2 linked regions of the Oryctolagus cuniculus genome follow. The main gene of each other region encodes a partner of the protein of the gene in region 2 in a complex. Links are inferred from orthologs where the notes say so. Each region holds a gene or a part of one and is shown on either strand. Other genes may lie near its edges.

Region 1 (3,643 bases), on a different chromosome or scaffold from region 2:
CACTTCACCCCTGCACACTGCCGCCGGCCTTTCCTCGCTGCGTCTTGCTTTTCTGAGAGCACTTCACCCCTGCACACTGCCGCCGGCCTTTCCTCACTGCGTCTTGCTTTTCTGAGAGCGCTTCACCCCTGCACACTGCCGCCGGCCTTTCCTCGCTGCGTCTTGCTTTTCTGAGAGCACTTCACCCCTGCACACTGCCGCCGGCCTTTCCTCACTGCGTCTTGCTTTTCTGAGAGCGCTTCACCCCTGCACACTGCCGCCGGCCTTTCCTCGCTGCGTCTTGCTTTTCTGAGAGCACTTCACCCCTGCACACTGCCGCCGGCCTTTCCTCGCTGCGTCTTGCTTTTCTGAGAGCGCTTCACCCCTGCACACTGCCGCCGGCCTTTCCTCACTGCGTCTTGCTTTTCTGAGAGCACTTCACCCCTGCACACTGCCGCCGGCCTTTCCTCACTGCGTCTTGCTTTTCTGAGAGCGCTTCACCCCTGCACACTGCCGCCGGCCCGGCCTACCTGGCCTGCAGGTTCTCGATCTCGATGCTCTTCTCTCGCTCCAGCCTGCACAGCAGCTCCTTCTGCCGCCGGGCCTCCCCCAGGACCGTCTCGCAGGCTCGCAGCTCCTGCTCCTTCAGCTGCTCCTCCAGGGCGTTGGCTCTGTCAGGGCAGAGCACAGCGCATGAGCAGGGCTCCAAGGCCTGTGGCCCCAGCTGTGGAGGCCTGCCTTTCTCCTGCAGCATCTGGACGCTGATCCAGGACCTGGAGAGCCTGTGCCCCCCGAAGGAAGGGGCAGGAGGGGGATGCCCCTCCAATGGCCCCCAGCCCCTACCAACTGGGGGCGTCTGGGGTGGCAGGACTTGCCCTCGTGCACCCCTGCCCACCTGACCCTGCCTGCTTGAGGCCTGTGGACAGGAGTGCACACAGAGGCCTTCGCTCACCAGTGCCTGTCCACAGCTGCTCGGCCCACAGCCACTACGCACAACCAGCCGGGCTCAGGGTCTCTGGGAGGCAGAGAGCGCATGTCCAACCTGACTGTGGAGACTGTCAGCTCCTATCAGCCATGACTGAGACTGGGGCAGCACAATCAGCCCAGGGTTGTCTCCCGAGGGTGTGCGTGAGGCCACAGCACACTACACCCAGGACCGGTCCAGCGCTGGCTGCCAGGCACACTGGAGCCCCAGGTGTTGTGGGGAGGGGACAGCTAAGCAGGAACCTGGGCTACAGCCCGGCCCTTTCCAGGCCACACAGGTGTCAGGGAGAACACAGGAAAGGGACCAGGAGCCCTCTCCTAGACCCCCGCGGACCACCGGCAGGAGACAGGGACCGGTCATCCCCGAGAGAAAGGCTGCAGGCCCCGCCCAGGGACGCAGTACAGCCCTGCCCCAAGCCCTGCTCTGGACACAGAACTTGCCTTCTCCGCACAGAGAGCGAACGGATGGCAACGGCTACCAGATGCCGCAGGAAGGTCTGTGCCACAAAGCGCAAGGCAAGCAAAGACAGGACTCTGAGAAAACTCTCCACGTGGAGACAGCAGGGGGGAGGCCCTGACGTGGACGTCAGAGGGCTGACGTCCCACACCCCTGAGATGCAAGCAGCTGTGACAGAGGACAGGTAACAGAAACCATCAGCAACTAAAACTATGGGAAGAAAAACTTAAAATTTCAATAGAAGGAGTTGAAGGAGAAAAATGAGGACATACAGGGAGACGAAAGGGCACAAAGACAAAGCTGGAAAAGGAAAATAAACAAAACGAGAGAAAACGCCCAGGGCTTCAGAGAAGGCAGATCAGGCACAGGAGAGGCTGGAAACAACTGACCCCAGCGGCAGGCATGGGGTCCGGGGTTACCCCCCAGGGGCAGGCATGGGGCTCAGGGGTTACCCCCCAGGGGCAGGCATGGGGCTCAGTGTCTACCCCCAGGGGCAGGCATGGGCTCAGTGTCTACCCCCAGGGGCAGGCATGGGCTCAGTGTCTACCCAAAGGGGCAGGCATGGGCTCAGTGTCTACCCACAGGGGCAGGCATGGGGCTCAGTGTCTACCCACAGGGGCAGGCATGGGGCTCAGGGCTACCCCTCAGCAGCAGGCATGGGGCTCAGGGCTCCCCCAGGGGAAGGCATGGGGCTCAGTGTCTACCCCCAGGGGCAGGCATGGGCTCAGGGGTTACCCCACAGGGGCAGGCATGGGGCTCAGGGGCAGGCATGGGCTCAGGGGTTACCCCCCAGGGGCAGGCATGGGGCTCAGGGGCAGGCATGGGCTCAGTGTCTACCCCTCAGCGGCAGGCATGGGGCTCAGGGGTTACCCCCCAGGGGCAGGCATGGGGCTCAGGGCTACCCCTCAGCGGCAAGCATGGGCTCAGGGCTCCCCCAGGGGAAGGCATGGGGCTCAGTGTCTACCCCCAGGGGCAAGCATGGGGCTCAGGGCTACCCCCAGGGGAAGGCATGGGGCTCAGTGTCTACCCCCAGGGGCAAGCATGGGGCTCAGTGTCTACCCCCAGGGGCAAGCATGGGGCTCAGGGCTCCCCCAGGGGAAGGCATGGGGCTCAGTGTCTACCCCCAGGGGCAGGCATGGGCTCAGTCTACCCACCAGGGGCAGGCATGGGGCTCAGTGTCTACCCCCAGGGGCAGGCATGGGGCTCAGGGCTACCCCCCAAGGGCAGGCATGGGCTCAGGGCTAACCCCCAGGGGCAGGCATGGGCTCAGTGTCTACCCCCAGGGGCAGGCATGGGGCTCAGGGCTACCCCCCAAGGGCAGGCATGGGGCTCAGTGTCTACCCCCAGGGGCAGGCATGGGGCTCAGGGCTAACCCCCAGGGGCAGGCATGGGCTCAGTGTCTACCCCCAGGGGCAGGCATGGGGCTCAGGGCTCCCCCAGGGGCAGGCATGGGCTCAGTGTCTACCCCCAGGGGCAGGCATGGGCTCAGTGTCTACCCCAGGGGCAGGCATGGGCTCAGTCTACCCCTAGGGGCAGGCATGGGCTCAGTCTACCCCCAGGGGCAGGCATGGGCTCAGTTTACCCCCAGGGGCAGGCATGGGGCTCAGGGCTCCCCTAGGGGTAGGTCTGGGCTTAGTCTACCCCCAGGGGCAGGCTCGCCACCTGGGCCCCCACAGCCCGTGTGGAAGGCCTGGGTTTGAGTCCAAGCTGCACTCCCGCAGTGAGGGTTCCAGCACTTGGGCCCTGGCACACGTGGGGCAGACCTGGATTGATTTCCCAGCTCCTGGCTTCGGCCTGGCCCAGCCCGGCTGTTAGGGGTATTTGAGGAATGACCCAGCAGGTGGGAGATCTCTGTCTCTGAGCCTTTCAAATAAGTAAAATTTTTTAAGAAATAGAATTCTAGAAATCTTTCTGAAGCTGAAGGTTTCAAGGCTGGAAACTGAGTAAACCACACAGAAAACAACAAAGGCCTCATGAAAACATCCCAGGCAAGAAACACACACGGGGGCAGCCGGAGCCCGTGTGCCAGCTGACGCAACATCATCTTATACTCAGCTGAACCCCGACTGGAGGGGGGGCAGGGAAGGGAAGACGCACCTCTTTGCAGGCACCCATCGGGGGCCTCCTCTCAGCAAGCGAACAAGACAGACGGCCTGGGATCCGGAAATGAGAGCAAACCCGAGAAGGCGTGTGGGCAGCCCACCCCAGGCCGCTGGAGCAGCA
Region 2 (3,643 bases):
AGGCTAACACCTGAGCCATCGTCTGCTGCCTTCCACAATGCATCAGCAGGAAGCTGGATTGGAAGCAGAGTAGCCAGGACCTGAAGTGGCACTCGTAATATTTATTTATTTGAAAGAGAAATCTCCCATCTACTGGTTCACTCCCTCAAAGAACCACAACAGCCAGGGTTGGGCGAGGCCAAAGCCAGGAGCTTCCTCCTAGTCTCCCATGTGGATGCAAGGGGCTAAGCACTTGGGCCACTTTCTGCTGCTTTCCCAGGTGCATCAGCCAAGGAGCTGGATCGGAAGCAAAGCAGCCAGGACTGGAACCCATATGGACGCCAGCACTGCAGGTGGCAGCTTAACCCACTGTGCCACGGTGCCAGCCCCTCAGCACTCTCAATACGGGACACAGCTGTCCCAAGAGGCGGCTTAACCCACTGTACCACAATGCCTACCCCTAGAAACATATCTTGTTTCCAACTTGTGGTTGCCTTCCCATACAAACATTTACCAGAAAAGAACAACAAAATAGAAGCAAACACCAGAAGAATTCAAAACATGGGTCACATATTTTTAAAAACACACTTACAGGGGCCAACATTATGGTGCAGTAGATTAAGCCAATGCTTGCAAGGCTGGCAATCCACATCAGGGTGCTGGTTGAAGTCCTGGATGTTCCGCTTCAACTCAGCTCCCTGCTAATGCTTGGGTCCCTGACACTCATGGGAGATCCAGATGGAATTCCTGGCTCCTTGCTTTGCCCTGGCCCAGAATCCAGTGTTTGGTTATTTGGGGAATAAGCTAGGATTATATCTGTTTCTTCTCTTTCAAACAAGTCTCTTTAAGAAACACACACACACACACACACACACACACTTAGAAATAAACATCTAAGAATCCTATCTGTGGTTTCACTTTCCAGTTTCAATTACCCACAGTCAAACCACAGTCTAAAAACATTAGATGGGAAATTCTAAAAATAAACAATGTGTACTTTCACTTTTTCATTTTATTTGAAAGAGAGGGAGAGACAGGGAGACCTTCCATCTGCTGGTTCACTTCCCAAATGCCCAAACAGTCAGGGCTGGGCCACACTGAAAAGCCCAGAACTCAGTCCAGGTCTCCCACATGCGTGTCAGACTCAAGCACTTGAGGCACCATCTGCTGCCTCCAAGGGTGCGCGTTAGCAGGAAGCTGGACTGGAAGGAGAAGAGCCAGGACTTGAACCAGGCACTCCAACATGGATGCAGCATCCCAAGTGGCAATTTAACTGCCTGTACTGCATGCCCACCCTAACAATACATATTTCTCAAGTGGCACCTGAGTAGCATAATAAGATCTCATGCAGTCCCACTCCATCCAGGCTGGGACAAATCTTCCCTTTGTCAGTTGTATCCATGCCACATAAGCTGCCCACCCATCAGTTACCAGATCAGCTATCGTGGTATTATGGTGCTTAAGTTCAAGTAACCTTTATTTCATTTAATAATAATACCAGGCATAAGAATAGGGATGTTGGCAACTCAAATGTCAAGGAAAAGCCAAAATTTAAAGTTAAAATCCTTTAAGTTTACAGATATAGAGTTTGTTACTATCCATGCTTTTGGGTATCAATGGTGGTACTCAAATGTATCCCTCATGGATAAGAGAAACCACTGTACATCTCCTATTACCAAAAGTAGCTAATTCACTTGATAGAAATCTGTTTTGCAGAACCTAAAAACAATGAAACTTACGCTGATGTTATAGCTCGGTATCGCTCTTGCCCTGCCGTGTCCCATATCTGTGCCTTTATTGTTTTCCCATCAACCTGGATGCTTCTTGTTGCAAATTCTACTCCAATGGTGCTCTTGCTTTCCAGATTAAACTCATTTCGAGTAAATCGAGATAGAAGATTACTTTTTCCAACACCAGAATCTCCAATAAGGACAACTGAAAAGACAAAGAACGCAATGTCAGGTGAATGAGATAACCACATTCAGAATACCACTATGCTTTCATCAGAATGTTTGCCTTCAACGCAAATAAAGAAAAAAAAAAAGATAGGACATCTTATTTTTCAAAAGATTTATTTAATTTATTTGAAAGGCAGAGTAACAGAGACAGATGGGAGAGAAAGAGGTTTTCCATCTGCTAGTTTACTCCCTAAACAGTCCCCACAGCTCCAGTCTGGGCCAGGCCAAAGACAGGAGCCAGGAGCTCCAGCTGGGTCTCCCTCACGGGTGGCAGGGGTCCAAGTGCTTGGGTCATCCTCCACTGCTTCCTCAGGCGCATTAGCAAGGAACTGGATCAGGAAGTGGAGTAGGTGGGACACAAACCAACACTCTGACATTGGACGGTGGCAAGGGCAGCTTAACCTACTATGCCACAACCCTGGCCGTAGGTTATCTGATTTTTAAAAAGGGATGGTGGGCAGGAGGTCGAGTAGCCCATGTCTTGACCAGTTATCAGTCAGTAGAACCAATTTATCTTCTGTTTCAGGGCCTGTGGTATGGCACAGCAAGTTAAGCCAGCTCCACTTCTGACCCAGCTCCCCACTAATGCACCTGAGAAAGCAGCAGAAGGCGGCCCAAGTACGTGGGCTCCTGCCACTCGGGAAATCCAGATGAAGCTCCTGGTTCCTGGCTTTGACCGGATACAGCCATTTGGGGAGTGAACCAGTGGATGGAAAATCTCTCTCTCTCTCTCTCCCTCCCTCCCTCCTTTTCTCCCCCCTTTCCTCCCCCTCTTTCAAATAAAACAAATCTTAAAAAAAAAAAAAAAACCTATATTCTTTCATAATGACTTCCACACATTACAGATGTGGTACCATTTTAAACAAGCAATTTTAATCAGGTGTACTAGCCACTGATGGCAGGTATTAATTACCATCAATACTAAACCAATCTTACTACTGCAGAAGAGAACTTAAAAAAATCAATCCAAAACTAAATGAACTTAAAATGTATCAGACATGAAAACAACAAAGGATATTAATAGATATGGAGGAAGAGAATATGTTTTATTTAGTTACCTCAAATAAAAGGTGTGACTTGAGGACTGACATTCATTCAACATACAAAGCATCAGGTTTATAACCTTTGCACTCAGATCATAGAAACTAAAATGATCTTTAATAGTTGCTTGTATCAGATTACTACAAAGCTGGGGACCATTCCCCCCACACCACACACACACACACACACACACACACACACATACACAGTAACTAAAACAAACCTTACCCCACTAAAGGTAAACAAGGGCCTAGGAAGCTAATACTTCTCACTTATTGGCACACACTTTCACTTATGAATTAATGACTTTTTTAAAAAACAGGTTTAACTAGATGAAATTACTTATGATTCCTATAGGAGACAATGTATTTACTATGTAACTTTTTCACTCCAAGTGATCATACTTATGAATTTCAAAAACAATGAAGGAGGCAGACATTGGCCTCAAAGTTAAGACACAAATTAGGACATCCTTGTTCCACGTTTGAGTACCAGCTCCTAATTCTTGCTTCCTGCAAATGTGGACTCTGGGGAAGCAGTGGTGAGGGATCAAGTAACTGGGCTCCTGCTACCCACATGGGAGATGTGTTGGCCATTGCATGGCATTTGGGCAGTGAATCAACAGATAGGAGCTCATTCTTTCTTTCTCTCTCTCTCTCTCTGAA

What was found. Proteins that work in one complex are often made in the same cells at the same time.
Region 1: the proteins of RAB11A (region 2) and RAB11FIP3 are in contact, whole or in part, in a crystal structure (PDB 2HV8), measured with the Homo sapiens proteins. The link is inferred for Oryctolagus cuniculus from reciprocal best matches to the Homo sapiens genes RAB11A and RAB11FIP3. Residues at the interface, in NP_004654.1 of Homo sapiens: Arg33, Ile44, Gly45, Val46, Glu47, Phe48, Ala49, Thr50, Trp65, Arg72, Arg74, Ala75, Ile76, Ala79, Tyr80, Arg82; in NP_055515.1 of Homo sapiens: Asn731, Phe732, Gln735, Ile738, Asp739, Arg740, Ile742, Val743, Met746, Glu747, Pro750, Ser751, Leu753, Glu754, Val755, Lys756.

What each region holds. Positions count from the first base shown.
Region 1 is NC_091450.1:34,135,568-34,139,210, forward strand, and holds part of RAB11FIP3 (rab11 family-interacting protein 3), read right to left. Parts: intron 651-3,643; coding exon 510-650; intron 1-509. UniProt on the Homo sapiens protein: Downstream effector molecule for Rab11 GTPase which is involved in endocytic trafficking, cytokinesis and intracellular ciliogenesis by participating in membrane delivery. Recruited by Rab11 to endosomes where it links Rab11 to dynein motor complex.
Region 2 is NC_091443.1:88,893,602-88,897,244, reverse strand, and holds part of RAB11A (ras-related protein Rab-11A), read right to left. Parts: intron 1,915-3,643; coding exon 1,719-1,914; intron 1-1,718. UniProt on the Homo sapiens protein: The small GTPases Rab are key regulators of intracellular membrane trafficking, from the formation of transport vesicles to their fusion with membranes.